7 linked regions of the Canis lupus familiaris genome follow. The protein of the gene in region 7 interacts with the protein of the main gene of each other region in a biochemical or structural test. Links are inferred from orthologs where the notes say so. Each region holds a gene or a part of one and is shown on either strand. Other genes may lie near its edges.

The links.
Region 1: of the proteins of CASP3 (region 7) and GZMB, one has a biochemical effect on the other in vitro, tested with the Homo sapiens proteins (2 studies listed by BioGRID). The link is inferred for Canis lupus familiaris from reciprocal best matches to the Homo sapiens genes CASP3 and GZMB.
Region 2: of the proteins of CASP3 (region 7) and HCLS1, one has a biochemical effect on the other in vitro, tested with the Homo sapiens proteins (2 studies listed by BioGRID). The link is inferred for Canis lupus familiaris from reciprocal best matches to the Homo sapiens genes CASP3 and HCLS1.
Region 3: of the proteins of CASP3 (region 7) and PTGES3, one has a biochemical effect on the other in vitro, tested with the Homo sapiens proteins (2 studies listed by BioGRID and IntAct). The link is inferred for Canis lupus familiaris from reciprocal best matches to the Homo sapiens genes CASP3 and PTGES3.
Region 4: of the proteins of CASP3 (region 7) and PANX1, one has a biochemical effect on the other in vitro, tested with the Homo sapiens proteins (2 studies listed by IntAct). The link is inferred for Canis lupus familiaris from reciprocal best matches to the Homo sapiens genes CASP3 and PANX1.
Region 5: the proteins of CASP3 (region 7) and BIRC2 form a complex in vitro, tested with the Homo sapiens proteins (3 studies listed by BioGRID, with this or other methods). The link is inferred for Canis lupus familiaris from reciprocal best matches to the Homo sapiens genes CASP3 and BIRC2.
Region 6: of the proteins of CASP3 (region 7) and PARP1, one has a biochemical effect on the other in vitro, tested with the Homo sapiens proteins (9 studies listed by BioGRID and IntAct). The link is inferred for Canis lupus familiaris from reciprocal best matches to the Homo sapiens genes CASP3 and PARP1.

What each region holds. Positions count from the first base shown.
Region 1 is NC_049229.1:4,634,586-4,639,190, reverse strand, and holds the start of GZMB (granzyme B), read left to right. Parts: upstream 1-1,709; 5' UTR 1,710-1,893; coding exon 1,894-1,954; intron 1,955-2,904; coding exon 2,905-3,052; intron 3,053-3,467; coding exon 3,468-3,603; intron 3,604-3,805; coding exon 3,806-4,069; intron 4,070-4,587; coding exon 4,588-4,605. UniProt on the Homo sapiens protein: Abundant protease in the cytosolic granules of cytotoxic T-cells and NK-cells which activates caspase-independent pyroptosis when delivered into the target cell through the immunological synapse. It cleaves after Asp.
Region 2 is NC_049254.1:25,544,926-25,548,871, reverse strand, and holds part of HCLS1 (hematopoietic lineage cell-specific protein), read left to right. Parts: intron 1-599; coding exon 600-654; intron 655-3,075; coding exon 3,076-3,186; intron 3,187-3,808; coding exon 3,809-3,864; intron 3,865-3,946. UniProt on the Homo sapiens protein: Substrate of the antigen receptor-coupled tyrosine kinase. Plays a role in antigen receptor signaling for both clonal expansion and deletion in lymphoid cells. May also be involved in the regulation of gene expression.
Region 3 is NC_049231.1:1,253,653-1,258,310, reverse strand, and holds the start of PTGES3 (prostaglandin E synthase 3), read left to right. Parts: upstream 1-1,568; 5' UTR 1,569-1,583; coding exon 1,584-1,642; intron 1,643-4,658. UniProt on the Homo sapiens protein: Cytosolic prostaglandin synthase that catalyzes the oxidoreduction of prostaglandin endoperoxide H2 (PGH2) to prostaglandin E2 (PGE2).
Region 4 is NC_049242.1:6,792,587-6,797,096, reverse strand, and holds the start of PANX1 (pannexin-1), read left to right. Parts: upstream 1-1,514; 5' UTR 1,515-1,580; coding exon 1,581-1,761; intron 1,762-4,510. UniProt on the Homo sapiens protein: Ion channel involved in a variety of physiological functions such as blood pressure regulation, apoptotic cell clearance and oogenesis.
Region 5 is NC_049226.1:29,436,692-29,440,637, reverse strand, and holds part of BIRC2 (baculoviral IAP repeat-containing protein 2), read left to right. Parts: intron 1-1,311; coding exon 1,312-1,554; intron 1,555-3,345; coding exon 3,346-3,600; intron 3,601-3,894; coding exon 3,895-3,936; intron 3,937-3,946. UniProt on the Homo sapiens protein: Multi-functional protein which regulates not only caspases and apoptosis, but also modulates inflammatory signaling and immunity, mitogenic kinase signaling, and cell proliferation, as well as cell invasion and metastasis.
Region 6 is NC_049228.1:38,451,553-38,456,252, forward strand, and holds the start of PARP1 (poly [ADP-ribose] polymerase 1), read left to right. Parts: upstream 1-1,752; 5' UTR 1,753-1,841; coding exon 1,842-1,961; intron 1,962-4,700. UniProt on the Homo sapiens protein: Poly-ADP-ribosyltransferase that mediates poly-ADP-ribosylation of proteins and plays a key role in DNA repair.
Region 7 is NC_049237.1:46,862,170-46,866,115, forward strand, and holds part of CASP3 (caspase-3), read left to right. Parts: intron 1-399; coding exon 400-524; intron 525-3,478; coding exon 3,479-3,607; intron 3,608-3,946. UniProt on the Homo sapiens protein: Thiol protease that acts as a major effector caspase involved in the execution phase of apoptosis. Following cleavage and activation by initiator caspases (CASP8, CASP9 and/or CASP10), mediates execution of apoptosis by catalyzing cleavage of many proteins.

The sequences.
Region 1 (4,605 bases), on a different chromosome or scaffold from region 7:
GCACAAAACAGCTCTATCATCACAAGGATTCCTCCAATTGCACTTTTATAGATACACCCATGTCCCTCCCTGACCCTCAATCCCTGACAACTGGCAACCACTAAAATGTTCTCCATCACTATAATATTGTGTTTCAAGAATACCAAAATCATTCAGTTATGTTCATCTCATGCAGAAGATAAGTCCCATACATGCTTTGAGAGATTTATTTCAGAATATTTCTCTTTTCTTGAGCACTTGTAACCGGTATCGTATCGTTTGTAAGATTTATTTATTTATTTGAGAGACAGAAGGAGAGTAAGGAAAGGAGGGGCAGAGCCGGGGAAGAGGGATATGGGGTTGAACTCTCAACCCTGAGATCAGCACCTGAGTTGAGATCAAGAGTCAGAGAGTCAGAAATCAGATAATTTTAGGGGCCCTTGGGTGGTGCCATCAATTAAGCAAGGGATCCTCTGTTTTGTTCAGGTCATGACATGAGTGTTGTGAGGTCAAGTGCCACATCCACTCAGCACAGAGTCTGCTTAAGACTCTCTTTCCCTTTCCCTTTGATCCTCCCCTCTGCTTTCTCTTTCTCTCTAATAAAAATAGAATAAATCTTTAAAAAGAAAGAAATTAGATCATTTTCATTTTCTCTTTGCTTATATTAGTTTTCAAATTTTCCAACAATTGTAGGAAGTAATTGCATGCTAAATTTTTCACTAACTAGGAAGGAGAGACTAGTAGGTTCTTAAGAGCATGAAGAAAATACTTAAGTTATAGGATTAAGGGATTGTAATACTTAGCCGTTCTTTGAACTGAATGGGGCCTGGCTGTTTAGAAACCACGGCCCCTCACATCCAATGGTAGTGAGATCAGCAGCAGAGTTGGCTTAACAAATGTGAGACTAGTATGTGGCAAACCTGCTATCTCAGAAGTGTGGCTCTCTGGACAGACAACTGACAATACTCAAAGGACAACTCTTGGTTTTGGTTGCCCAGCATACTTTTCCACTTCATGTTATTGGTGATCTAGTCATCTGAACTTCTTTTGGGGAACCAACCTTTCCCCAATCTTAGTTGACTTGTCTTGGGGGGCTTGGCTGTGACTGCCCCCAGTCTTCACAAAGGAGGAATGACGTGGCCTTCAGTCAGTTGATTCAATCTCTAGGGTCATGGTGGTTCATTAACTGAAGCCAATTAGTGTCAAGTACAGGACTTTGGTTAAAAACATTGACAAGAGAGGTGGACTCTATTACTCTGAGTGTTTGTCATTTAAAAACAGTAGATAAAAATCCATAGGAAAGAAGCTGGGGTGATGAATGGTGGCCATAAGGATTTAGTAGATAAAGGTCATGCTCTTACTTTCTTGGCGCTTACCATGCTGGACCATGGGCGCTACTGTTTCTGACTCCTCCACCAGACAGACAACTCTCTGAGGGAAGGAAACACATCTCCAGTATGCTGGATCATGCAGACATGGGCCCAAATACACAGCGCTAAGGAAATTATCCTGATGGACCTAGCAGCATGGAAATGAGGCAGTGGTGGTCCTATCACTGGGGACCCAGGTTTCTGGGCTCTAGTACCCTTACAGGCTGATACCACATCCTCCAGTCCCCACCTGATATGCTTACTGTCCTATTCTGAGCTGGAACAGGTGGTCTGCTCTGAGTCAACTGGTGTGGGTTCTGATGTGGTCACAGCATGATTCTCACACAACCACCCAGAGAACGTCATCAGACAGAGGGGCAGGGGGCAGGGAGGCTTTCATAGAAAGCCTTCTAAGGATGAAGCACCATAAAACCAGAGAGGAGTTCAAGGTCAGGGAGCCCATTTGCACCCCCTTCCTCTCCCAGGAGCTATAAAGGAGTGCAGAAGCGCCAGCAGCTCCGACCTGAGCAGCCTCCCGGGGAAGATGCAGCCACTCCTGCTCCTGCTCCTGCTGGCCTTTTGCCTGCCTTCTGGGGCCAAGGCAGGTGAGTGTACACCCCCACCCTAAGAGGCCCAACCCCATCTCACAGTGGCACAGCTTTCCTGTCCCTTCTGAACACCCCTATCCACCTACCACCAGGAACATTCTCAACCCCAGCCTTCATCCTGCCTCCCCCTCTCAAGTGTGATGCTGATAAGCTAGCAGTAGGGACAGCGGGGCAAAAGGCTGTCTCTGGAAGAGCTAGTCGCTACTGTCCCCTCCCCAGCCTCTACCTTTGCCATCTGAAATTAGAACTTTCCTGGAATAGCAGAGGGTGAGAAACTGGAAAGAGAACACCATAAATCCCCCTGCAGAGGGCAGAGCAAGGGGCTTCCCTCAGCATCTACTTAGGAGTGAAGCCCGGGGCTCAGCTGACCCAACAGTTGGATGGATCACTGTCCCCAGAAGACTGCTCTTGCCTTGCCTCTGCCTCAAGGCTCCTCATCCCTCTCTCCAACTCTGCTTTTCTTCCCAGGCTCTTAGTGGCTCCCCTCTTTCAAGCAGACCTTGGCAGACCTCAATTTCTCTGCTTTCCAGAATCCTACCAGCACGCCGGGGAGCCTTGCCTTCGTGCAGCCAACCAGCACTTACTAGGCACCTATGACCCGTCAGGCCCTTAGGAAATCGGCAATGTCACACATCTACTTAACTAAACTTAGATCCCAGCCACTGGAAAAGACTTCACAGGATGACAGGGGCCTTAGAAACTCACTTGAAACAAGGCAAAGTCAGGAGAGGGATTTTTCTGGAGCCTCTAGGACGTTGCTATTCCTAACACAGGTGTGGTCCCCTCTGATTATGTGTAGAACACAGATGCACAGCCTGAGACTGCTGCCCTCAAAACTCCCAGGGGAGGAAGTCGAGGCCCTCCACCTTACCTGCTGCCCCAAATCAGGCATGCCTGCCTGCTGGATTCAGTGGGTAGACAAGAGCAGAACAGAATTTTTCCTTCAGGAGAGATCATCGGGGGACATGAGGCCAAGCCCCACTCACGGCCCTATATGGCGTTACTTCAGATTGAAAACCCGAGCAGGCAGATCAAGTGTGGTGGGTTCCTGATACAAGCGATGTTCGTGCTGACAGCCGCTCACTGTTGGGGGAGGTGAGAAGTACTAAACAGGCTGCACTGCCCTGAAAACCCCTGCAGGGAGCCCTGCCTTCCTACCAGCTCGCACCCCCCATCCCCCACGCTGAGCTCCGCTGGGGCATGCTTTGCCATTGTATGCCAACTCATGCAATCACGTTTCTGTGGGAAACTGTCCCCTAAGACCCACCGGCACACTCACTATCGGCTCCAGAATCCTACCTCAGCTGCTGAGAAGCAGAAGGCACAGAGAGCTCAATCACGGCCCCTCCTGTTGCCTCAGTTTCCCCTCAGCTTAAGTACTGCCTTGATTTCCCTCTATCACCTTGATTTCCCTCTCAGCTGCCCTGCCCTGGCTGCCACCTGCCCTCTCGACTCCCAGGCTGTACCCTGTGACTCCACACCCCCACACCCCACTCTGCTCTCTGTGCAGCTCCATCAAAGTCACCCTGGGCGCCCACAACATCAAGGAACAGGAGAAGACCCAGCAGGTCATCCCCGTGAGAAGAGCCATCCCCCACCCAGACTATAGTCCAAAGAACTACTCCAATGACATCATGTTACTGCTGGTAAGGAGACCTCCCTGCAGCTCTTGCCCTCCTGGGTCCAGACTGTTTCCCTCCCACTGGGACCTGTCCCTGCCATCCTTCCCATGCTGGCCACCTGTCCAGTCCCAGAGGCTCACGGGAGAGAGAAGACACTGCCGCCTCATCGGAGTGTCAGGCCCAGAGGCCACTGGCTGAGCTGGACTCTCTTACCTCTTCCCGTCAGCTTGAGAGGAAGGCCAAGTTGACTGCGGCTGTGAAGACTCTCCCCCTGCCCAGGGGCAAGGCCCGGGTGAGGCCAGGACAGGTGTGCAGTGTGGCCGGCTGGGGGCAGATTGAGGCCAAGATACGCAGGTACCCAGACACTCTGCAGGAGGTGTCACTGGAAGTGCAGAAGGATTCAGAGTGCGAATTCCTCTTACCCAAGTATTATGACAGCACCACTCAGCTGTGCGTGGGGAATCCAAAGGAAACCAAGTCTTCCTTTCAGGTGAGACTCAGTGTCTGCTTAGCATGGCTCTGGGGACAGGGGTGTTTGGGGAGGACCTGGGATCTGGAGATATAACCAGTGATCCTTCTCCTGAGGAGTAGAGGGGGAGCTGCCAGAGATGAAGGCACCTAAGCACCTCTGCAAGCCTGCCAAGACCTAGAATGAATTCAAACCATGCTCTTCCAGAAGGATGCATTTGCAGCACCCTGCCCCAACCCGGCCACTGATGCTGGGTGTGGCAGTGATGAAAACCAGGGGGTTCCTCAGAGCTGGCACCCACCTGGGTTACGGGCTCGGCCTGCATGCTGTCAGCCCCTAAAGAGTAGAGTGAAGCCAGCAGTCCCTCATCAGAGGATCGGGACCGGGGGAGGAGAGGGAGCTGCCACTTGGGGTGAAGTGTAGCAGTGACAAAGTCCAGGCCGGCCCTGTCCTCTTAGCTCTCGTGGAGGCCGTGCAACACAGGCTTCTCAGAGGGGCCTAGGAGGGCAGGCTCACTCCTCCTCTATCTCTGTCCACAGGGAGATTCTGGGGGCCCT
Region 2 (3,946 bases), on a different chromosome or scaffold from region 7:
CATCTCTGGGTTTCCCCTGCCACTTAGGGAAAGAGAAGAGGTGTGGTATATATAATCCATTAGGAATGGGATAATATTTCTTACATGTGCATAGTGCTTTATAGTTTACAAGGCACTTTTCTAGCTATTATTTTAGTTTCATGAGAATTAGGAAGAAAAGCACTAATTTACTGAATGACACAATACAAATACTTTTTATATACCTTGCCCCACTTAGTACCCACAATATCATTTCTCCCATTTTATAGTTGAGGCAAATAAGTCAGGTTTGCCTATTTTTATTTCATATTTGAGGTGACTGAGGCTCAGTGATATAAAGGATATGCTTAAGTTAAACAACTATAAAGAGGGAAGGTGGGGTTGGGTTTTGAATCTAGAGTTGATGAACCTACGGAGCGCAAGTTCATTGCTCTGTAGCATACAGCCACTACACCAGCCTGCCGGGTCAGGGTTCTTGTCTGTTTCTAGGTTAAACCCCCATTCTCAGCCTTGAGCTCTTGTAAACTAGCTTCTGGCCTGAGCTAGGAGTATGAGTGTGTGAGGGAGGGGAAAAACTGTCAGTTCCAATTCTAACTAATCCACTCTCCTTTTCTCTGTAGTCTGCAGTTGGCTTTGATTACAAAGGAGAAGTGGAGAAGCACGCATCTCAGAAAGGCAAGGACCCTGCGCTCCAGCCTTAGCAACCTGATTGACCTGTTCTACTCAGACTTCACCTCCCAACAGCTGTCATCAACTCCCTTTAGTTGCAGGCACAGTTCCCCACTATTTTATTTTTTTAAATCCAAGCATGTACTTGCTTCTTTCTTATTTACCTTCTTCTAGGAGATTGATCAAGTTTTCTTTAGTCCCCCTTCCCTCTAATGGATCGAAAATAAGGTATTCTACTACTTTATTTTAGGAAGTAGTCCCTAGATTTTAACATTCATCTTTGACTTAAGTTTAAAATTAATCACTATCTCTTCCTAGTAATAAAGGAAATATAGAATAAGTTAATTACATTCCTTCTACATCCTACATTCTTAGTGCCAACTGGCCAATTGTTGTTGCTCAGTATAAGGATTTTGTGTTTTTAAACCCCACAAAAATGAATCATTATTATTATTTAGTGAATATTTATTTAAATTGACCAACATATTTACCAAGTATCTGGTGCATCACTGTTTATTGTATCTGTTTCCTCTTTTCTTCTATTTCCTTCTTACTAAAGTATATCCTTTGATAATTCTTCCAGTGAGAGCCTATGAAAAAACTCCCAGGCTTTGTCTAAAATATACATTTTGTTTCATTCTTCATTGCTATTTTCCCCATCATCACTTTGAGTATATTATTTCATACTTTTTGGCATCTCTCTTGTGGAGTCTAACTCTTGTTCCTTTGTAGGTAACATGTCTTGTCTCTCTGTTCTGTTTGTTTTTTTTTTTTTTTCATGAAAAGTTTTTTTTTTTCTCTCTCTGATACCCTCAGATATATCTAGGTGTTGGATCTATTTCTCTTATCCTACATGAGACTAACCGATTCTCTTCAACCTGAGAAATAACTTTCATTATAGAAAGTTCTCAGGCCTGTTGTCTTGGGATAGTGTTTCTTCTCTTTTCTCTTTTATCCCTTCTTCTGGAACTCATATTGATGAATATTGAAGATTTTCATTCTCATTTGATTGTCTCTCTCTTTTTTATTTTTATTTTATTTTTTAAGTGCAGTGGTGAGGGGGAGAATCTTAAGCAGGTTCCATGCCCAGTACAGAACTCGATGCAGGGCTTGATCTCATGATCCTGAGATCATAACCTGAGCTGAAATCAAGAGTCAGATGCTTACTTTCCTAAGCCATCCAGGTACTCCAACCATATGGTCTACCTTGGTGAATATTCTATGTGCATGAAAAAACTATATTCTGCAGTTTGGGGATATAATGTTCTGTAAATGTTAATTAGGTTTTGTTAGTTGTTAATGTTGTTTGGGCCTTCTATAATTTTAGATTATTTTTGTCTAAACATTCTTTCAAATAACGTAAGAAGAGTGTTAAAATTTTCGTCTAAGATCACATATTTTTCTATTTTTCTTTGTTTCTGTCAGTTTTTGCTTCATGAGTTTTGATTCTGTTAATAGATTATACCAGCATACATATTCCTCATTAATGATGATTTGTTCTCTTATTTTTGTGTTATATTTCTCTTATCTCTTATAATGCATTTTGTATTGAGGTCTACTTTGTCTGATATTCTTGCCATCTTTCTGATGCATATTCTTTCTTTAGTATATATTTTTCTAGGTCAGCATTAATTTCCCAGCTTAGAATTCCTGTGTAATATAAATAGTATAAAACTGGGATATTTGCATTCTACATACTCAGGGTAGGCCTGGAGTTTCCAAGTTCCATAGGTAAAATTTCCCCCTACCAAATGCTGAACAAACTACAACCCCCTTCACCATTTCCCTGAACAAATGAATAGAATTTTTCTAGAACTCTTTTATAGAAGTGGGCAGACTTCCATTTCTTGTTCCCCAGCCTGCTGTTCTTATCCTAATCCCTAGGGACTAAATTTGGGATTTAAAACACCCTTGGGCTTTCTGAGTTAGCTCATAATTGCCTTCATATTTATGGCTTTGATTCATCTATTTGCTTCTGGAGCCAGGATATTTTTTTCTTTTTTCTTGAGCTTCACTACAAAAAAAAAAAATTGTTATATTTGAGGAGACATTTCTAAGTGTTTATATGGGAATAGGAACAGGCATAAATTTCATATGCCTGTTTTCATATGTATCTGCCTTTTTTCTCCTAAAAGTCTCTCTTTACATTCTCTATACTTTCCCCTTCCCTGAAGAAGGGAGAAAATTGAAACGATCTTCTTATTTTAGGATGGAGGTAAAGGAGGAGAGGAAAGGAGTGAACAGTGTTGAATTACCGCTTACAAAAGATGACTTAGGATACTTGTTTCTTGTTAATCTACCTAGATCCTAGCCCTGCTCTTTTCCCAGGCCCTTATCCCTCTGCACCCGTTCCTCCTGACTTCTCTCTTCCACAGCACATTCCTGTGGGCTTAGAGCAGGCTCTCATGACTCCTCCTTCCACCATAGATTACTCTCATGGCTTTGGAGGCCGCTATGGTATAGAGAAGGATAAACGGGACAAGGCAGCTCTGGGATATGACTACAAGGGAGAAACAGAGAAACACGAGTCCCAAAGAGGTAAGTTGGGTTGAAGAGGAAGAAGGTCTCAGAGTAGCATAAAGTCTGCCTTCCTTCCTTTCTGGAAGCTGACATAGAGGACCCAGAAGGGTAAGTGTACGTATGTATGTAGGGGTTGGGGTAGACACCAGGAGGACAGAGAAGAAAATAGCAAGATTAGGAGCAGGATGGAGGAGACCAAAGAGAAAGGGTCACTGAGGAAAGGGTAAACTCAGACGGGCTGGGTGATGACAAGTGGGTGGTTTGGTTATGAGTCTCACAGGCCCCCATGCCTCACAAGGACAGAGAGGTCTCTCTCGGACACATAAGGGATGGGACATATAAGAGATGGCTGGATGGCTCTCCTTATTTTTTCTCATTTCTTCTTTGTATTCCTTCCTTTTCTCTCACTTCTCTCTTTTTTATCTTCCCCTATTCACATCTCTCTCCTGTCCTTTCTCTCTCAGTCCTTTTCTGCCTATTCCCATCCATGCTTCTCTCTATCCTCTGATTCTCATACTTCCTCATCCATCTCTGTTTTCCACATTCCTGTCTTCTGGTCTTTCTTCCTATAAAATCCTCTACCTACATATTCCTAGCATTTTAACTCTTCTTATGACTCTCAAACCTTTGTGTTCTGCAGATTATGCCAAGGGCTTTGGTGGGCAATATGGAATCCAGAAGGACCGAGTGGATAAGGTAAAGCATCAGCACACCAACATCTTTTTTTTAAATAAAGATTTTTATTTATTTATTCATGAGAGACAGAGAGAGAGAGAGG
Region 3 (4,658 bases), on a different chromosome or scaffold from region 7:
CTGTTTAGAACCAGTCTAGCTTTTAAAGTTTGTTTTTGTTTTTTTAAGATTTATTTATTCATGAGAGAGGCGGAGACCTAGGCAGAGGGAGAAGCACGCTCTTCGCAGGAACCCTATGCGGGACTCAATCCTGGATCCCAGGATTATGACCTGAGCCCGAAGGCAGCCGCCCAATCGCTGAGCCACCCAGGCATCCCATAAATTCTTAAGATATTTTTTCTGAGTTCCTAAATGGGAAATTGTTGATCCTAGTGTATTCTGTTACAGAAGTACAATATGTATTGTAGTAAACTTTATTATGTACTGTGTAGATTGACAGTGATTTTAAATTGAGGCTGACTTCTCTGTTTCCCTAGGACACCTTTGAACTTCTGGTTTTTCAGGAAGATGCCAATTACTTTACACATTACCTTGAGCAGTAGTATGTTCTTCCCCCTATTGTATTCCAAAGCCATAATGTGCTTTAGTGCATTTTCTGTACAGTAGTTGATCTTCACATGTTGTCATACTTTATTATTAAAAAAGTATTTGTCAGGGTCCTTTCCAGCTCAGCATTTTAATTATCTTTGTGTACGGAAGGCTCTAAGTCACAGACAGGTGTTCTTAAAAATTTTAGTATATATTTAAGTTCCATAAATACTAGTTCACACAGTGCTAATTAGTATAAGGAGTTGTCCTAGATAGAATTGGAACTCAGGATTTCTGACAGAAAGGTTATTTTTTCCACTTTACAGAAAGGAAGAATAATTTCCCAGTGATCCTTTTATTTCCAAAGAAATAACTATGTCTCTCTAGTTCTGTCTTATTATGTAAACTGTTTCTGTTAAAACCTGTGCCACTTCTTGACATACGATAATGGAGTCCAGAGGCTCTGAAATTTTTCTCTACTGGAGGCACTGAGAACGTTGACCTTGAGTCTTATTTGTTCTTTTTTTTTTTTTTGAGTCTTATTTGTCTGAAGAAAAATTACTATATCTGCTTTGGAGATATTTAAAAGAATGCACAAAAGTGGGAGTGTAGGAAGGTTGGAGTTGCTTGGAAGAAAGGCGCTAAGTCTTGGGAGAAATACCATCTTTAAGAACAGCTTTCACTTTTACGTTTAGAGTAGGAATTACCAAATAAAGGAACTAATAACACAGGTTCACAAATGTTCTTGGTTTGCCCTTTTATGTCTTAGTAGGTTTTTTGTTGTTTCCTTTTTTTTTTTTTTTTTTTTTTTTTAATGGTGTTGCTGGCCAAAAGAAGTAACCTAGCAGTTCTGTTAGTTAGGTAGTTAGGTCAAAACAACTTAAGTAATTTATCCGAACAACCTAGTAGTCTTTGAAAAGCAAATACACAAAAATTGAAAGAAAAAGGTTTTTTGTTTTGTTTTGTTTTTAATAACCACAGTTACAGAATATGAATGCCCTTTGGGCACTGTATAACTTCTTATAACTTGAATTCAGATTAGATATGTCTATCTCAACTTCTGTTCTCTACTGTTTTGTTTTTTTTTATGGGTCCCTTTCTCCCCCCCCACCCCCCCTTTTTTTCCTCTAAATCACAGCAACACCAAAATTCTAACTTTGGAGAAATGAAGATTAATGGAGAGGGATGTGGTGCAGTCTGCTTTAAAACTGAACCACCTGGTGTCTGAACTGAGGTTGAGTATCACTAAATTTTTCTCAAATTTAAAATATCTTGCAGCAACCCAGTAAGTTTCTTGTGGTGCCCTGATGCACCTTGGCAAGTAATTTGGAAGCAACTGGGTCAGCATGTGTATTCAGATCACCTATCTAGAAAGTTTTACATGGTAGTACAACTGACATACAGATACTCTGAAAGTATGAGAAGCATATCTTGGGTTTTGTTTGAAGAAAGAATATGTGCATAAGAGAGTGTTGGATTGGGGATCCCTGGGTGGCTCAGCAGTTTAGTGCCTGCCTTCTGCCCAGGACGAGATCCTGGAGTCTCGGGTTCGAGTCCCCACGGCCTCCTTGCATGGAGCCTGTTTCTGCCTCTGCTTGTGTCTCTGCCTCTCTCTCCCTCTCTCTGTGTATCTCATGAATAAATAAAATCTTTAAAAAAAAGAGTGTTGGATTTTTAGACATTTGTGGACAGGGCTTTTCACTGCTCAATTTATGTGCAGTCAAAAGCCCAGTCCAAAAAGGAACTACTTTTTTCCTTTCTAATAGCAGAATTTCATGTTTCCATATCATTCCTCACTTAGTACAAACTAAAAAAGATTTACCTGTGTCTTGATTCCTTTTTGTAAATAATAGACTATTTGACAAACTTAGTTTTAAAAAAATCAGTAATTCTGAATTTTATAACCTCTTTATTGCTGATTTTTTTCCTTGGTTTTAATGATTTTTCTTTTATAATCTTTTATGATGTTTATTTTTTTAAATGTTTTTTTTTTAAAGATTTTATTTATTTATTCATAGAGATGCAGAGAGAGAGAGAGAGAGAGAGAGAGAGGCAGAGACACAGGCAGAGGGAGAAGCAGGCTCCATGCAGAGAGCCCGACGTGGGACTCGATCCAGGGTCTCCAGGATCATGCCCTGGGCTGCAGGCAGCACCAAACCGCTGCGCCACCAGGGCTGCCCTCTTTTATGACGTTTAAAGATACTCTGAGATGTATAAGAGATCATCGAATCTAGTGTTTAAGAAGCTTCCTATTAAATAGAAATGTTTACTTCTAAACCTAGAAAATACTAGGTTAAGATTTAGTAAAAAGCTAGTCTTCTGATTTCTATTGTTTTATCTTAGAATTCAAAGTGATCCTGTAATTCAGAAAAATAATGGTGCTCCATTAAGAGTTAACTTGAAAGGAAACTCATTGGGGCACCTGGGTGGCTCAGTGGTTGAGTGTCCACCTTCACCTCCGGTTGTGATCTTGGGATGGAGTCCCACATTGGGCTCCCTGTGGGGAGCCTGCTTCTCCCTCTGCCTATGTCTCTGCCTCTCTTTGTGTGTCTCATGAATACATGAATTAAAAAAAAAAAAAAAAAAACTAAGTACAGTTGATTCTTGAGTAACACGGGTTTGAACTGTGTGGGTCCATTTAGGCAAATCTTTTCCAATAAATACAATAAGGTTAGTGTATTTTTTTTTTTTTAAGATTTTTTTTTTTAAGATTTTATTTATTTATTCATGAAAGACACAGGGAGAGAGAGAGGCAGAGACACAGGCAGAGGGAGAAGCAGGCTCCATGCAGGGAGCCTGACTTGGGACTTGATCCCAGGTCCCCAGGATCACAACCTGGGCTAAAAGCCGCACTAAACTGCTGAGCCACCCGGGCTGCCCTCTTTTTTAAGATTTTAACCAACTGAGCCATCCAGGCATGCGCGCGCGCGCACACACACACACCCTTTTTTTTTGTTTTTTAAATTTTTATTTATTTATGATAGAGAGAGAGAGAGAGGCAGAGACACAGGCAGAGGGAGAAGCAGGCTCCATGCACCGGGAGCCCGATGTGGGATTCGATCTCGGGTCTCCAGGATCTCGCCCTGGGCCAAAGGCAGGCACCAAATTGCTGCGCCACCCAGGGATCCCTTTTTTTTTTTTTTTTTTTTTTTAAGTAAGTTCTACAGCCATTGTGGAGCCCAGGGTGGGGCTTTGACTCACAACTCTGAGATGAAGACCTGACCTAAGATCAAGACAAGAGTCTGACTCCCTTAACTGCCTGAGCCACCCAGGTGCCCCTGTGAAATTTTTTTTTTTTTAAGGACTTTCTCAACATTGTTTTTTTTTTCTCTAGTTTCTTTCTTCCTTTCTTTCCTTTCTTTCCTTTCTTTTCAAGATTTTATTTATTCATAGAGGCACAGAGAGAGAGAGAGAGGCAGAGACACAGGCAGAGGGAGAACCAGGCTCCATGCAGGGAACCCGACCCGACATGGGACTCGATCCCAGGACTCCAGGATCACGCCCTGGGGCTGCAGGCGATGCTAAACAGCTGCTTTAGCTGCGTCTCTTGGGCTGCCCTTTTTCCTCTAGTTTCATTGGAAGAATATACAGTGTATAACATATGATATACAAAGTATGTGTTTATTGTTTACATTTGGATAAAGAGTCTGGTCAACAGTAGGTTATTAGTAAAGTTTTAGGGGAGTCCTAAATTATGCTTGGATTTTCATCTTTGTTAAGGGGTTGGTGCCCTTAACTCTCATATTCAAAGCTCAGCTGTACGAATAACCAGAGAAAGTTTTTGTTTTGTTTTGTTTGAGTGTTGTGATGTGTTACCTATGTACACATTAAGATAAACTGTAGTTAGTAATGGACCTGATCCCTTTACCCCCCTTCCCCAATATTTCTTAATATTTTTGGACTACATTTAACTTGAATGTAAGTTTTGTTTTGTTGACTGCTCTATCTCCAGAACGATTCCTAACCCCATATTTAATAAATATTTGTTTATTGAATAACATTCAAGCTCAAGCTCTAAATGCATTTTATCTGCTAGGCTTGGCTACATGAAGTGCTTGATAGTGAGGGTTGGGCCTAAGGGTTCGTGTGTGTGGTTTTTTTTTTTTTTTTTTTTTTTTTTTTTACTATTACTCTGTTATTCTGCTATATCACATTTCATCCAAATTCAACTATATCTTCTGTAGAATGTAGGTGGTCAGTGTTGAAAGATAAAGTTGATGAGAACCATCTATAAATTGAATACCTGATTT
Region 4 (4,510 bases), on a different chromosome or scaffold from region 7:
GGGCCTGGCTAATCAACCTGAGGAACCCATGGGGGAGATCGTGAAGCTTGGTGAGGCAGGCAGTGGCCACGCTAAGAAATTTGGATTTTATCCTAAAAGCAACACACACTTTATGTAGGGCAGTGACACCATCCGATTGGAGCTTTTCAAAGCTCCCTCTGGCCGCTGTGGGAGAAAAGTGGCTTATACGCCTATGCCTATGCGATCCACCGCTGTATGCGGTTAAGAGAAAGGATGAGCACTGGGTGTTCTACTATATGTTGGCAAGTCGAAGTCCAATAAAAGAATATACAGAGAGAAAGAGAAAGGGAAAGGACGGTGGCCTAAATCCCAGTGCTGGCGGTGCATGTGGAGAAAAACCATCACCTTTTCACTTGGCGAGGACCAAGTGAATTTGGAAATTCACTTTCCAAACTATGGCAGCTGGGAGAACTGGAAGCTTAAAGACGACGCTGGAGGCTCTGGCTTGGGTGGATGGCGGCGCTTTCCGCCAGCTGGGGAGGACCGGAGTTCAGCCGGAGAGGAAGATAAGGCCTGCGTTCCTGGGTCCTCGGAGTCCGAAGTCCTGGGAGCCACCCGGGCGGAGGGCGGTGTAAACTGCTGGCTGAGCGATCGGAGGCTAGGACAGGTGGAGACGTGCGCGAGGGACCTGAGCGCAGCCGGGGGGCGGGGGGGGCGGCCCGGGTGGGAAGGGCGGGGGCGGCAGCGCAGCCCGAGGGCCCTCCCGCCTGCGGGTTCTGCCCGCCGCAGCATCTCCTCGCGCTTCTCAGGCTCCACCTCCTGGAGGCGGGTCGGCAGCGGCGGTCGGCAGCGCCCACAGGCAGCACGCGCGGACGGCGGAGGCTGGAGGCTCGGCCCCCCGGGCGCGGTCGCCGAGGCGCGGAGGGTGCAGAGTCCCGTCCTCCACGCCGGCCGCTGGGCTCCGGGGCAGCCGTGGCCCTTGGCAGCGTCTGCAGCTCCTCTTAAGCGGAGTCCACCGTGCAGAGCTGCGGGGAAACCGCGGCCCAGCAAGGCGGGCGGGAGGGGGCGCTGAGGCCGAAGGGGCGGGGCGTTTCCGTGGCGCCGCTGCTCCGCCGGGGATCGCCGTGCTGGGCGGGCCACCTGTCCCCCGCGGCTCCGCGCGCCCGGCTGTCGGAGGAGCTCGGAAGACCTCGGGTTCCGGAAGAGCTGGGCGGGGCGAGCGGGGCGCGGGCGGGGCGGGGCGGGGCGGGGCGGGGCGCGGGGGGCGGGCGAGGCGGGAGCGCACCCGGGGCCGGCTCGGGGCTGGCTGAGCGCGGGCGGGGGCGAGGCGGGGCGCGGGCGGGGGCGGGGCGCGGGCGGGGCGCGGGCGGGGGCGCGGGCGGGGGCGGGGCGGAGCGCGGGCGGGGGCGCGGCGGCGGCGCTGGGCCTCATAGGCAGCCGCGCGCCCCGGCGCACAAAGGCTGGCGCATGTGTGAGCGGCCCGGGAGCCGGCAAAGGGAAAGCGAAATCCGCGGGGGCGGCAGGGGACGGCGAAGGCGCGGCGCCGCGGTCCCGAGGCGGGGGTCCCGGCCTGCCCGCCCCGCCCCCTGGGCCCGGGGCCTGAGCGCGCCGCCGCGGCCATGGCCATCGCCCACCTGGCCACCGAGTACGTGTTCTCGGACTTCTTGCTGAAGGAGCCCTCGGAGCCCAAGTTCAAGGGGCTGCGGCTGGAGCTGGCGGTGGACAAGATGGTCACGTACATCGCCGTGGGGCTGCCGCTGCTGCTCATCTCGCTGGCCTTCGCGCAGGAAATCTCGACGGGTAAGGCCGGGCGGAGGGGCGGGGCCGGGCGGCGGCGCGAGCCGCGTGGGCCGCGGTCCCGGGTCTGCGGGACGTGGTCTGACTGCGCGCCCCGTGGCGGGGACGCGGGGTAGAAAGGCAGCCCCGGGCTGATGGCCTCGAGTGTTCTTTGCGCACGTGGTGCAGGCTGTGGCCCTGCGGATCCCGCTTGCATCCCCCCCCCCCCCCCGTTCTGCCTGCACCCCGCTGATCCCGACTGCGCCCTGGAGTGCGTGTCCTGCCCTCGCTATCAGATTTGTGGAAACCACGGCCTCCTCATCCCGTCCTCTCTCTCCCACATTTGCGTAATTATCCACAATTTTGGAGCAGAGAAGTTCCGGAGCGGCTGAGCGGAGGGCGTGAAGAAGAGGACTCCGTGAAAGCTGTGCGCTCCCTTCTTTATCTCACTGGTCGATACCGAGACTTGAGCTCTGGGGGGTTGGTTGTGAATGATGGGAAATGACTGCCCTTGGCTGGTATTAGTGGGATCCCAGAATCCTCCATCTGAACGGCCTTACTATGAATGGGGGATGAACAAGCCCCCTTCACGTGGACTGTCGTTTACTCATAATAACGCGTCTGAGGTGCCAGTGTCTGGGGCAGGATCTTGTGGTTGCCTAATAAGACTCTCTGGTCTTCCTCAAGAGCTGAAGCATAGAAAAAGGATACTTTCGAGTCAGCAGGAAAGCAGCTAGAAACAGTTTGATGGGCGGTGGGAGAGAAGAGAGGACGGTGGGGCTGGGCCTGGGGGAAAGCCTATGTGAGAAATGGTGCTGGCTTCTGGCCGTGGAGCACAGTGGAATTTGCATAAGCAGAGGTGAGACCTTTGTTAAGATTCTGAGATCACAATTGCACTACTCGGGATTTACCCCAAAAATACAGATGCAGTGAAAAACTGAGACACCTGCACCCCAATGTTCATAGCAGCAATGTCCACAATCGCCAAACTGTGGAAAGAGCCTCGGTGTCCATCAAAAGATGACTGGATAAAGAAGATGTGGTTTATGTATACAATGGAATATTCCTCAGCTATTAGAAACGACAAATACCCACCATTTGCTTCAACGTGGATGGAACTGGAGGGTATTATGCTGAGTGAAGTAAGTCAATCGGAGAAGGACAAACACTATATGGTTTCACTCATTGGGGGAATATTAAAAATAGTGAAAGGGATTATAGGGGAAAGGAAGGAAAATGAGTGGGAAAAATCAGAGAAGGTGACAAAACATGGGAGACTCCTAACTCTGGGAAATGAACAAGGGGTAGTGGAAGGGAGGAGGGCGGGGGTGGGGTTACTGGGTGACGGGCACTGAGGGGGGCACTGGACAGGATGAGCACTGGGTGTTATACTGTATGTTGGCAAATCAAACTCCAATAAAAAATATACCAAAAAAAAAAAAAAGATTCTGAGATCGCAGAGAATGTTATATATGTTCCTGGAAGGAGAAAGATAATGACTATACTCCCTGAGGAGGAGTGTTAGTCACAGTTTTGGGTTATGAGCATGAATATGGGTCCAGGTCCGTTAGAACAGAGGCGTACAGGCTTGGTAGTTTTAAAAGTGCAAAGTTATTGTGTGAGCAGAGGATGGACTGGTTGAAAACAGTACTGAATAAGCCTGATGGTATCCTGTAGGGTCTGGGATCAAGGAGGAGAATCGGAGCTAGGGAGGCCAGATGCCAGAAGATGGGGCCTTGGTTGACGTCTTGTGCATGGATGGGGGCCAAGATTTGAAGGGAAAGGATGGGAAGGGGTGAATTCTAAGAGATCAAGGAGCAATAAGTGGCACCTGGGTACCTAGTTTTTAATAGGCAATGAAGGGCAGATATGACCAGAGTTGATAGAAAGGCTGCAGCCCAGAATGATTGGAGAATGGTGGGGGGGATTTTTGTTTTTTAAAGATTTATTTATTTAGAAAGAGAGAAAGAGCACATGCACAGAGCAGGTGGTGGAGAGGGGCCGAGGGAGAGAATATCTAGCAGACTTCCCACTGGGTGCAGAGCCTGATACGGGGGCTCGATCTCATGATGTTGAGATCATGACCTGAGCCGAAATCATGGTCAGAAGCCTGAGCCCCCCAGGTACCCTGAGAATGGTGGTACTCTTGATGAGAATAGTGAAGTTGCAGGAGGAGTTAGTTAGAAGAGGGTTATGGTAAGCTTAATTTTGTGATCTACAGCACTAAGTTGTTCAGTGTGGCAGGAAGTTGCCAAATTCATTGTGGAGAATACGTGATCAGTTTTTTTGTCTTTGGGCAGGCATAGTCCTGGGGTTTCCTTCCGCCTTCCAGATGATCAGGAGTTGGGACTTCTAGTAGAAAGGAAAACCACCAAGCAGCTTGGGTCCTAGAGATAATCTCTCCCTTCAGCAGATGTTCTTTGGGTACCAGCTATGGGTTGGACCCAGTGCTATGCCCCGAGGGCCCAGGAATAAATGAGGCACAGTCCCTGTCATGGAGGAGTAACAGTCTTGGGCACCTGATGCCAGGAGGAGGGAGTTGGTTACCCTTGGTGATCAAAGTTGACATCTACCCCACCCCCCCATACTAGAGGGATTCAGAAAGCAGAAGCACTTTCAACAAGTTTAAGTTGATGGGCTGAGAGGCATTTGGCTGGCATTGGGAATGGTTTCACCCAGCAGGAGTCTGACCTTACGCTATGCACAGAGCACTGCTGTGTGTTGAGTGGGACAAGAAAGGAGTTTGAGGCATGGTCTTCCTCCCACCCTGTAA
Region 5 (3,946 bases), on a different chromosome or scaffold from region 7:
TTGGGTGTCACCCGAGCTCCTCTTTGTGTGTTCCATCTGTTGGCTGTCCTTTCATCCCTGCCTTCCTCACATGCCTGAATCTGCGTGCCTCTCTCCATGTCCATCTGGCACTATCAGCCTAGTGCAAACTGCCATCACTGTCGTGCTTTCCTGGCGGGTCTCCTCATTCCATCTTAGCTCATTAAAGTTTATCACAGAGCTGCCAGAATCATCATCTGAGAAAACAAATCCGGTCTTAACATCCTTCACTTAAGATGTATAGAAAACATTCTAGTACATGTAGAGTAAAAGATAAGCTGGCGAGGCTTTACTATGAGATCTGGGGATCATCCTCATCTCTGGGTGCCTTTCACCATTGTGTCTCTAGTTCTTGAATGTGTCAGGATTTCTTTGAGATACTCCCATAACTCCTCTTTATTCATTCACATGCTTGTTCTGATGTTGCCACTTCAGACTGGCTTTCTGTGTGTGTGTGTGTGTGTGTGTGTGTGTGTGTGTGTGTGTGTGTGTGTATGTGTGTGTGTGAGACCACCTGCAGGCGGCTTTGGAGAGACATGATTATTAGAACACTTTGCCAGCAGGTGGCTGTCATGCATCATGTAGAATGATGTTTTCTTGTCATTTCCACCAAAGTGTCAAGTTGGTCAGTGCTGACTCTGTTTCTAGGAAGTGCTTCCCTGCTCCACCATGTCAGTTGTTTTCTTCCCTCCTGGGTTATTTTAATCACTTTTCACAGCTTGATTTTCTTTATATCATGGTCTGAAATCAAATGACTTCTTCAGTCATATTTTTATGTCGTTAGACATATTTTGCATGAACTAGTCTTAACTCTCCTTACATCTATGTTACTCTCGGATTTATCTGTCCACCTCTCTAGATCTCATGTATCCTGGCAAGTCCAGACTCTGACGCCACCTTTAATGAAGTCTTTGTTGGTTTCCCTGCTTTCTTGTAGCATTCCTACAGTTGTGTAGCATATTGGTTCCTGAAAATGACCATATGTTGGAATCATTTCAGAAATTTAAAAAAAAACATGGATTCCTAAGCCCTGTGCTTTGAGTCGCTCATTAAGTAGGTTCCAGGGTGTAGTGTGGGAAGTGGAATTTTAAAAAAGGATAGCATATTTTTACATTCTTATTTGATCCTCTTGCATTCATACTTTTGTTGGAATTATAGGTAATTGGTGCATAAAGCTTATGTGCCATACCAGGATATGAGCAGCAGGAGAGGAAAGATTGTGCCATAGTCATCATTTTTCTCTGTAGTTTTACATTTGTGGGATTTAACATTGGTACATGTCTTTTCAAATAGTTGTCCATTTTGGACCTGGAGAAAACCATTCAGAAGACACAGTCATGATGAACACCCCGGTGGTGAAGGCCGCCTTGGAGATGGGCTTCAGTAGGATCCTGGTGAGGCAGACCGTGCAGAGTAAGATCCTGAGCACTGGGGAGAACTACAGAACAGTTAATGAGATTGTGTTAGCACTTCTTAATGCTGAAGATGAGACCCGGGAGGAAGAGAAGGAAAGACAAACTGAAGAAATGGCATCAGGTACTTGGGAATGTTAATTACCCGCCCTATTTCCGTGAGGGTCACGGGACTGGATGACCCGTTGCAGGAGCACCAGCATCTGTCCACTAACTCCTGGCAGCAGTGCCAGGAGCCTCCGACACACATCCCCTTCTGCACTGTGGGCAGTGCTCAGACTGGACTGTAGCTTTCTAGAATATGTTTATTTTCCAACAAGATCTGTGATTTATGCCAGTCCGGATTTTAGCCTAACTTCTTGAAGTATATTGCTTTTCTTCTCCTATGTAACAAATTTAAATTGTTATATATGAGAAGAAAGGAAGACTTTAAAGTTGAATGGAGGTCTTCTTTCAGTGTTTTAAAAAATTTCCTTGAAATCTTATCCTTACCATGGTGTTTGACTCCCTGATCCTTGCTAAGTGGTCCTTATACAAAAATGGAACTGGTGGTGAAGTCCTAGGGCTTGAAAAGCCCCTGCCCAGCCCAGAGACAGTGGGGAGCCAATCAGGGAGCTGATTGTGGTGTTCATGCAGGTCGTGCTAAGCTTTAGACTTCCTAAATAAGTCTCTTGAGAAATCATTCCTTCAGCAAATACAAATGGAGCGTGAACACCTGTCAGATACTGTGCTGTAGTGGTAACTATGGTGCTTACCTGTGGGGATTGTGGATGAGGTGTGGAGTCTAGTACACAAAAGAACCAGCAGAGGTGAGGGGTGCGTAGACAGTGTGGATTGGGAGTTCAGGCTGGAAGACATTTTGTGTTGAACCTGGTAAGTAATGATAGAAATGGTTTAAGAGAACCTCATTGTGTGGTCGTGTAGAAAAATGCAAAGTCTGATTTTGATATTGAAACAGATTCGTGTTTTAATCCTGGCTCTGTCAGAAGAAAACAGGTTCTATGAAGGTTGCGGTTCTATGAAGTGGAGATCATAGTACAAATTGCACAAGGTTACTGTGAGAATTAAATAAGTTGCAAACAAAACATTTTAGCATAGTGCAAGACCTGAAAACATTTTTTTGTTAAGTAGATTGATGTAGGAAGTGACAGGGCTGAGGGCACAGGGCCAGGAAGCAGCCTGGCTGGCATGGGATCCTAGGCCTGTCCTGGCGGGATGAGTACCACTACTGTCCTCCCCTCCTCTTGAAGTGGTGAAGCCCAGGGTGAAAAGGACACTCATCCAGGGCACTGGTTCTGCAACGGATTCTTTCTCTGACTTTGGGGAGGTCACTCATCTTCTGAGTTTCTTTTCCTCCATATTTGAGAATGAGAAGTAGTCTTACCTGCTTGTTTAATTGACAGGATCTTTTGTATCAAATAAGGGAGTTTATACGAAAGCCCTTATAAAACTAAAGTGGTATGATGCAAATAGAAGTCAGTATTATTAATTTCATAGGGGAGAAAGTACAGAGGTGGCAGGTTTTTACTGGTATTTATTTATCTGTTTATTTATTTATTTATTTATTTATTTATTTATTTATTTATTTATTTTACTGGTCTTTAAAATTCTCTGCTTTCTTTCTATGGAATAGCAGGGTTCTAAGACATGTAAATATCTCCACTTTTAGAAGTGACAACAACAGAGACCCTGTGTGTTGTGTGTACTATATGATATGCTTTAGCTGAATCTTCCAGAAGTTTTCTAAATGATAGACATTAAATTTAAGTGCAAACAAGTAATTTTGTGCTTTTTCAAGCACCTATTTATTTAGCGTCTAAATTGTTGGTAGGTTTGGTTGTTAGTGACTATGTGAGTATCGTTGGAGCACTTTAAGATCTAATGGATTTTTTTTTCTTCTTTCTTTTAAATGAAGATGATTTGTCATTAATTCGGAGGAATAGAATGGCTCTTTTTCAACAGTTGACTTGTGTGCTTCCTATCCTGGATAATCTTTTAAAGGCCAATGTAATTAATAAACAGGAACATGATATCATTAAACAAAAAACACAGATACCTTTGCAAGCGAGAGAACTGATTGATACTGTCTTAGTTAAAGGAAACTCTGCTGCCAACATCTTCAAAAGTTGTTTAAAAGAAATCGACTCTACATTATATAAGAACTTATTTGGTGAGTTTTTGGTAAAATTATTTCAGAAATCTTTGAGATTATGTTCATGTTGATGTTTGACAAACAAGGTAAATCTGGTTAGCAAACTATAGTCTGTCCGTACATTTAACTAGTCCTAAAAAAGGGATGTCATCTTATTGCCCAGTTAGTATGACCGTGTAATTCCTGATCTGTAGGTAGCATCTGTGGTGTTCAGCAGATAGCAGGTGAAAAGAAAATGAATAGAAGGTGAAGCAGTCTTATATTTGATAGAATATGGTAGAAAATACTTTTTGTGTATTTTTCTTTCCTCAGTGGACAAGAACATGAAGTATATTCCAACAGAAGATGTTTCAGGTAAAACAAA
Region 6 (4,700 bases), on a different chromosome or scaffold from region 7:
ACTGGGTAGAGGCTAGATAGACCACACCATCTAAATCTGGGGTCATGCTGTGTTGGTAAGGTCTGTATCCCTCCACCGCATCAGCTGGCCTGACAGTCGGGTTGTGAACACCAGAGCGGAGGATGCTCAAGGCCAGTCCAAGTACCTAGAGGCTACTCAGAGAGACACAGTGGCAAATGCACTGGGCCACAGCTGTAGCTTGCCAACTAGCCTGCTGAACAGACATGGGTGTTATCTGCCGTTCTTGGGCAAAGCATATGGGAGCCAGAGCAGGACCATAATGTTAGTACCAATAAGTGAACCCAGAGGTCAAGTGATCCTATCTTTGGATTTGGCTATTCTCTAAGTAAAAGTTATTTTATTTATTCTATCACACACTCCACTTATTCTATTCACCTTCAACATAGCTAACATCCCTTACTTCAGATTCTTGCCTAGGGCTCGCAACCTACTTGCTCCACCTCTCAACATCACCTCTCCGGTTACTAGCTTTCTTCTCTATGCTGGCGTGCTTCAGCAGCTTCATTGATCCTGTTCGTTTTTCTTGTCTGCTCTACCAGAACCGAGTCCTCAGATACAGCACACTCCACAGTAATGTTTTACTTTCGTGTTTTTTAAAAGTAGGCTCCATGCTCAAGGTGGGGCTTGAACTCAAGAGCCAGACATTCTACTGACCCCCAGCCAGGCCCCGGCCACTAAAATGCATTTGATTATGTTTTTTAAGATTTATGTCTTAGAGCGAGGGAGGGCGGAGGAGCAGAGGGAGAGAGAGAGAATCTCACACGCACTCCCTGCTTAGCACGGATCCGTGGACAGGATCCCAGGACGCGAGCCCGAGATCACAACCCCAGGGCAATTCAAGAGCCGGACACGACTGACTGAGCCACTGCGATGCTTTAAATGACGAAAATAAAATCCACAGGTTTAAAACAGAAGCCAGTTCTAGGGCGACGGAGCTGTAGAGCAACAGGTCTTCTAGCTCCCACGGGAACCGGTCGCGTGGAGCGCAGACACCGGCGAGGCTCCCCGCCCCACTCCGCGCGGTCCCCGGGTCGGCGCACGGTCCCAGGGCACAGCGGGGAAGCGGGACGCGCTTCCTGAGAGCGGCGGAGGGGATTCTCCGGGAGACCACAAGGCCCTCCCCCGACTTGAGGCCAGCAGACGGAGCGCACCCCACGCCCCGCCCCTGCACGCAGCCGCTGCCCACCCGGCTCGCGCAGCCGCAGGAGCCCGGGAACCGCCGCCCGCGCAGTGGGCAGGCGGGGGGGGGGGGGGGGGGGGGGGGGCGTGCTCCGAGGACGCGTGCGCGGGGGGCGGGGGGGGCGTGCTCCGAGGACGCGTGCGCGGGGGGCGGGGGGGCGTGCTCCGAGGACGCGTGCGCGGGGGGCGGGGGGGCGTGCTCCGAGGACGCGTGCGCGGGGGGCGGGGGGGCGTGCTCCGAGGACGCGTGCGCGGGGGGCGGGGGGGCGTGCTCCGAGGACGCGTGCGCGGGGGGCGGGGGGGGCGTGCTCCGAGGACGCGTGCGCGGGGGGCGGGGGGGGGGCGTGCTCCGAGGACGCGTGCGCGGGGGGCGGGGGGGGCGTGCTCCGAGGACGCGTGCGCCGGGGGCGTGCCCCCGAGGACGTGCGTGCGCGGCGGCCCCGCCCCGAGGACGCGTGCGCGGGGGGCGTGCCTGCGGCCGGGCGTCTGCGGTCGGTCGGGAGCGGCGGGCAGCGCGGCGTGCTGGGGCGGCGGCGGCGGCGGCTCTGGGCGCTCGGTCGTCTGCGGGGAGCGGGAGTGGGGGGCGGCGGCGGCGCGTGTCCAGGGCGCGGCGCAGGGCAGGCGGCGGCGCGGGGCGGACGATGGCGGAGTCCTCGGACAAGCTCTACCGGGTCGAGTACGCCAAGAGCGGGCGCGCGTCTTGCAAGAAATGCAGCGAGAGCATCCCCAAGGACTCGCTGCGCATGGCCATCATGGTGCAGGTGCGCGCGGCCGCTTTGTGCGCGGTTGGGGGCGCGGGGGAGGGGAGCCGGGGAGGGGGAGGGGCCGCCCCGGAGCCCGCCCGCGAGAGCCGGGGAGGGCGGCCCGGAGCGGTGCTGCGGGGTGGGGGGCTCCTCCTGCCTGTCGCCGGCCGAAGTCTGAGGACGAGGCGAGCCTGGGCTTCTGAAGCCCGCCGCTTCTGCCCTCCCTCGTGCTGGAAGGTTTGTCCTACATTGATGATGGCGCCTGGCGCGTGAGGATCATTTTAATCTATTTTTGTACAACATCCGCTCACTCTCGATTTTTTTTCTTAATTATGCAGAACTGTACCAGTCGGTGTGATTTCTGTACAGCGCATTCACTGATTCGGGGTTTGAAATAACACCCCCCCCCCCAACTTTGCAGGTTCTCCGGCGCCTTCCCACCCTGATGCATTTACAGCTGTCTGATTTGAGTAAAAGGCCGGAGGGGTGTCCTCGGGGCTTCTGGACCCTCTGGGGGTGCCCCGGTGAATTTGCTGAGGCTTCCCAGGCCGGGCCGTGGGACTGGGCGTGTGTCTGAGGGCTCCTACCTAGGCGGGGGGCTTCCTGCGTCCTCCAGCTGCCAGTCTGCTCCTGTCTACCTGTCCAGTCCTGCTCTTCTCCAACATGGAGCTCCTGTTGGTTAAGTTCAGTGCTGGTAGTCAGGGTAACTCGGTTTTCCCTCCCTGCAGTGAGGCAGCAGCATGTTTTAAGAACAACCCTGTAAAAAAAAAAAGAAAGAAAGAAAGAAAGAAAGAACAACCCTGTAGACTTTACTGGGTTTTCAGTTCTAACCAGGTGGAGCAGAGTGGGTACCAAATGCCAAGTGGGGTTAAAGATGGAGGATGTTGTTCTGGTATCAGAGCCAGTCTAACTCGCACCTGCCGTGCAGTACTTCCCTTCAGTGAACACCAGGCGTGTCAGGCACCGTGTTAGGTTCTAGGGCCTCGGAGACAGCCTTCTGCCCATGCAGCCACCAGCTCGGTTAAATGGAAGATAACTGGGAAATGTGGCTGTAGTGAGTGGAGACCACCCAGGATACCTGTGCACCCACCAGGCGTTGAGGGCCTGGGGTGAGAGCTGGATAGGGGTTCTTAAGCGCAGGAGTAGCAGGAAGTTGAGGTTGGAGAAGCCGACCAGGTCTTACCATCTGCAGAGCTAGATCTGCCCCTGAGGCTCTCCAGATCTTACACCTGAATGTATGGGTCGCCTAATCTGAAGCTCTCCCCTTAACATTGTTGACTATCATGAAATTAACATTTTAAAAATAATAATAAAAAGGAGAAGCTCCCTCGGTGCCGGGGCTCTTAACCTAAAATCTGAGTTTAGAAGAAGAGAAATTTATATCTCTGTAGTCCCTAATCTCTCTCTCTCTTTTTTTTTTTTTTTTTTAAGATTTTATTTATTCATGAGAGAGAGAGGCAGAGACCCAGGCAGAGGGAGAAGCAGGCTCCATGCAGGGAGCCCGAAGTGGGACTCAATCCTGAGACTCCAGGATAACACCCTGGGCCAAAGGCAGGTGCCCAACCACTGAGCACCCAGGCGTCCTAGTCACTAATCTCTAATCTCTAAATAAACTTCATTACTTTCTCCAGTTATGAATGTGAAGGCAGAAAAGCAAAAGCAGTACCTATGGTTTTTGTCACCAGTGGAAATTACAGATATTTTCATATCACTGTACGTTTGTTGGGGATATCTCAAAACATCCATTACATTCATCATCATTCAAAGTTGCTGTAGTTGCTACAGTGGGCACTAAATCTTGTTATTTTATGCTTTAGAGCTCACCATTACCATATTTTTAAACATTTTGATAATTCAGTCTAACTGCTTTCTTCTGTGAGCCTGTGTATTGTATTACTCGTTTTTAAATTTTATTTGGAGAAAGACGTATCCTTAGGCTTCACTAATCATCCAGAGAGGACCTTCCCTGATCAGGAAGGACAGACAAAACCATAGTAGAGCCAGTATATCGAATACATAGGGCTGGCCTGGTGTTCCCAGATCGTGAAATAAATGAGTTAAAGTGGTTTTCTGTAACTGTATTTGGGGGTGGAGTTTTAATTCAGAATGTAAAATCTGGTCTTTGTAGGCAGAGCTGGAGGCCTGAAAGAAAGAAGCCATTCTTCTCCCTCGGGGTTCTAATACCTTCTTTTACATTTGTATGGGCGGATTGTTCTCCAAGTGTCAGATACCTGATACTTTAGGTGGTGTGCCCGGGGGCAGCCTCCAGGGGACTAACCAGGCCTTGTAGCTTCTTGACCCTTGGACCCTGGGTTCTTTTGTGTTGGGCGGGCTTGCTGTGGGGTCACACACACTGTTAATGGTCATTCCGTGCTCTCGGTGGATAGGTGGGCAGTGGGATGGCCTGTTCTATGCCGAAGGAAATAGTGGCTGGGCGAGGACCTGGTGTGTGTTTGCTGGGTACACAGAAATTCTTCTGCTTACGGTTGCCAAGTGGAAGCGTAGCCTTATGACCTTGTTCTGGTTTCCTTCCTGCCATATCCTTGTGAATCCTACATTCTAGGGTAAGGCCTTGCTTTGATCAGGGGTCCTTGCTCTCAAGTCCCTCAAGCTGCATGCCCTTGGGCTGCACCTCTTGGTTGCCCCACGCTGCACTGATAGTTGGGACACAGCACCCACACCAGAGGTTAGGGGGCAGGTGCAGGGACCCCACCAGAGCCAGGAAACCATGCAACAGCCACAAGGTCCAGTGTGTTC
Region 7 (3,946 bases):
TAATTGTTAAGATTTTGAAAGATAAATATCTCACAAAGTTACAAGAAATTTAAAAATTTAAAACTATGAAATATATTTGAAATTTTATAAAAATTTAGAGGAATACCCTAAAATGTGGAGATTAAAAGCGTGAACTCTGAAGTCTCACAGGTATGCTAGGCCTTAGCTCTGACACAGCATCTGCATAAGCATCAGCATGTTCCTGAGCCCCACTGCGGTCATTTCCCCATCTGTGAAATGGTTTATCATGAAATTTAAATCAGGAAAGGCCTGTAGCACACAGCCTGACATGCATTCAACAGATATGAACTGTTCTTATGTGTTGTAAAAGTTGTATTAATGTGAACAGTAGCATTGGTCATTTCTACCTTTGTAACCTGTTGTTTGATTTCCAAACAGAAAGATCTTACATGGAAGTAAATCAATGGACTCGGGAATGTCCTTCGACAACAGTTATAAAATGGATTATCCAGAAATGGGTTTATGTATAATAATTAATAATAAGAACTTTCATAAAAGTACTGGTATGTATCCTAACATGATTTTTAGTCCTCTTCAAGTATTGTACCTTTTGTATTTGGTATAATATAAAAAAATAGAACTGGTGTTTTTGGTTAGAAAACGGTAATGCAGAACAGCCATGATATAAAGATAGAGCAGGACTCCACACACCCTACATCACGAACTCTTGACCTGCCCATCATCAGAATTTCTCCCTCTTCCAAAAGCTAGCCTCCCATCTGTATGTTGGCTCTCCTGTCCCAACTTCTGTGTAACCCTTGCTTGTTTATCCTCCTGCTTCCTCTTTCATTCTAATAGAAGGATCACAACAAATAATGACTAGTATTTTTCTTTCAAGAACTGTGCAAGGTACCTCGTAGGTATTATCTCATTTAATTTTAACAACAACTCTGAAAAGGTTAAAGTTCTGGCAGAGAGTCACACAGATCATTTAGTAGCAGAGTTGGGACTTGGCCTTGGTGTGCCTGACCACCCTCCACCCCCACCTCCCAGTCCCCACTCGGAGCTCTGAAGTCACCTCCTGCACTACTTCACTTTGTTGTATCTTCATTTGCTCTATTGACGTCTTCCTTTCTCCCCACAAAAATGACAGAACCCCATCTTAAAGAGATCTTTCTTTTACCCTGCTCCCTCTCAAGCTTTGATCTGATTTTTGTCTCCTCTAAATTTTGAAAACTTGTACTTTAAGCTTGCCGTCATCACTTCTTTCCACATGTACTGAAACTGCTCTCTTATGTTCACCAGATCTCCTTCTCAGTCTATACTGGGTGTGACTCAAATCTAGAATACGATTCAGACTTTTTTTTTTTTTTTTTAGCGAATATAAACAATAAAATCCCTTACAGTCCCCAAAAGTTAATTAATATCTTGATGTATTACTTGATTTCTTTCTAGTTTCTTTCAAAGCTTAATGTCATTCCTAATATGCAAGCAGTACTATATCCTGCTTGTTCTATGTAATGTAATATAACCATTTTTCGTGTCTCTCTCTAATTTTGAGATCTTTTAGTGATTATGTAATATTCTATTTGCTTAATTTGCATAATTTACCATATGGTAAATTTGGGCTGTATCTCCATTTCTTATTTTTATATTGATGCTATGTTAATTGTTCGAATTGGCATATTAATCACTTTACACTTAACTTTTAATTAAAGAAGTTAGAAGCAGTAGGTCCAATTTAGGTGGCCATCTACCTGGCTGGTGGTGAAAATGGCCAGAAGAACCCAGATTGTACTGGAAATATAAGCAGAACTTGGTATTAGATTAGTTATGAGGAAACAGCAATTGGAAAAATGGATGTCTAAATCTGAATGGGAGCATTTGTATTGCTTTTGGCTCTAAGTTGAGATGCTACCTTCAACCATCAGATACTCTACATCACATTGCTAGTTACAATGCCCACTTCCTATAGACTTTTACATTGTTGAACCTATTGTTTAACAACCATAACAACAAATTACCTAAGCCAGGAGTCTGGCTTTAGCATTAGAGTGAGCTCGTCTTCTGTTTTGAAAGGTGAAGGTCAGGTCCTCACAGTGATCTCCTGGCAGTCTTGTATTTTCTGTTCTACTATTAAATGGCTCACAATCCAGGACTGGAATTCACTCACCTTGTCACATAGCTGCCTAGTATCCTCAGCCTCTCCAGAGTCAAAACTTTGATAGGCTTTTTAAAATTGTATTAAAATTACATATCATCATAATAAAAGATTCAGAAAAGACAGATTAGCAAAAGAAAAAAAACTTAAAACCACTCATAGTCACACTACTCAGAGATGCTCTATCAACAATATTTTGAAGGCATTGGCATTGAGTCTTTTATTCTATTCATACATTTAAATAATTGACTCAGTTCTAAGGTGTGTACTCCTTAACTGTTTAGCATTTTAAAATTTGAGTGCATTGTACAATCTGTACACTTAATGAGAAAGCTACTATAGAGGCTACTAAGTGCAAGACCCCAGAGTACAGGCCTAATGCTAGCTTTATTACTTTCAGCAAGTTCCTGAATTTCACTGTACTCCTTGTCCCATATCTGTACAAAGGTAACTGGTCACACTCACTGTCTCCTTGGTGTTTGGAAGGGTTGACGGAAATTACTCATAGCAGGATGTCTGGTAAACAGTATTGATGTGGCAGTGGTTTGTGGGTTTTTTTCCTGAGAAAAAAAATATTGTTAAAGTAGTAATGGATCTTTAAATTGTTGGGAACTTAAAAATAAAAAAAAATTCAGCTCCCATGAGTGTGTGAGATGTGTGTAGTGTTATATATATCATTTTTCTTAAGCAAAAGCATCCTCTTGTATTACAAGTTTTGTTTAATAAGTGACCTTTTCCCATGGCAGAATTTTGTCTACAGAAATTTTTATTTTTAAAATTTATTTATTTATTTGAGAGTGAGCAGGGGGAGGGGCAGAAGGAGAGGGAGAGAGAGGATCCGAAGCAGACTCTGAGCCAAGTGTAGAGCTCAATGTGGGGCTCGATCACACGACCCCAAGATCATGACTCAAGCCAAAACCAAGAGTCGGACGCTCAACTGACTGAGCTACCCAAGCACCCCTTGTCTACAGAAATTTTGATGGTAATACAGTATTCCATCATAATCTATTATGAATCATAATTTATTTAACCAGATTTCTCTCATTAAGCATTTCAACTGTGTTTTTCACTATCTAAGCAGCCATGAAAGATATCCTTTTTTTTGAAAGATATCCTTATGATTGTAACACTGATATAGCTTATATTATGAAATGTCATTTTTTTTTATATTATGAAATGGCTTATAATCTAAGAAACTAAAGAGACTTTGTGTTACCACGATCAGAATCATTAAATTTTCTTATCAGTTGAAAAGAATAATTTATTGTGGATTGTGTGACTCGCTGAATAGTTTATTTCAGAACAGTTACTCTCTTTTTTTTAGTGCAATTATAAGTAATCCTTTCTGTTTTCAAGGAATGGCACCTCGGTCTGGTACAGATGTAGATGCAGCAAACCTCAGGGAAACATTCACAAACTTGAAATATGAAGTCAGAAATAAAAATGATCTCACATGCGAAGAAATTTTGGAATTAATGAACAGTGGTAAGAAATAATTAAAAGAGTGACCTACCTTCATTGTCTAATTTTATATTACAGTGTAGCTGTAATTATAAAGAACTGTGGTACCATACTCTACATAATTCTACATTTTATATATGTAAAATAAAAGTTATTCGTGTCACCTCCCTAAAGTGATTTTTTTTTTAATTTTATTTATTTATTCATGAGAGACAGACAGAGAGAGAGAGAGAGGCACAGACACAGGGAGAAGCAGGCTCCATTCCATGCAGGTAGCCCAACGTGGGACACGATCCCAGGTCTCCAGGACCACACCCAGGACCGAAGGTGGCGCTGAGCCACCCGGGCTGCCCTTTTTTTTTT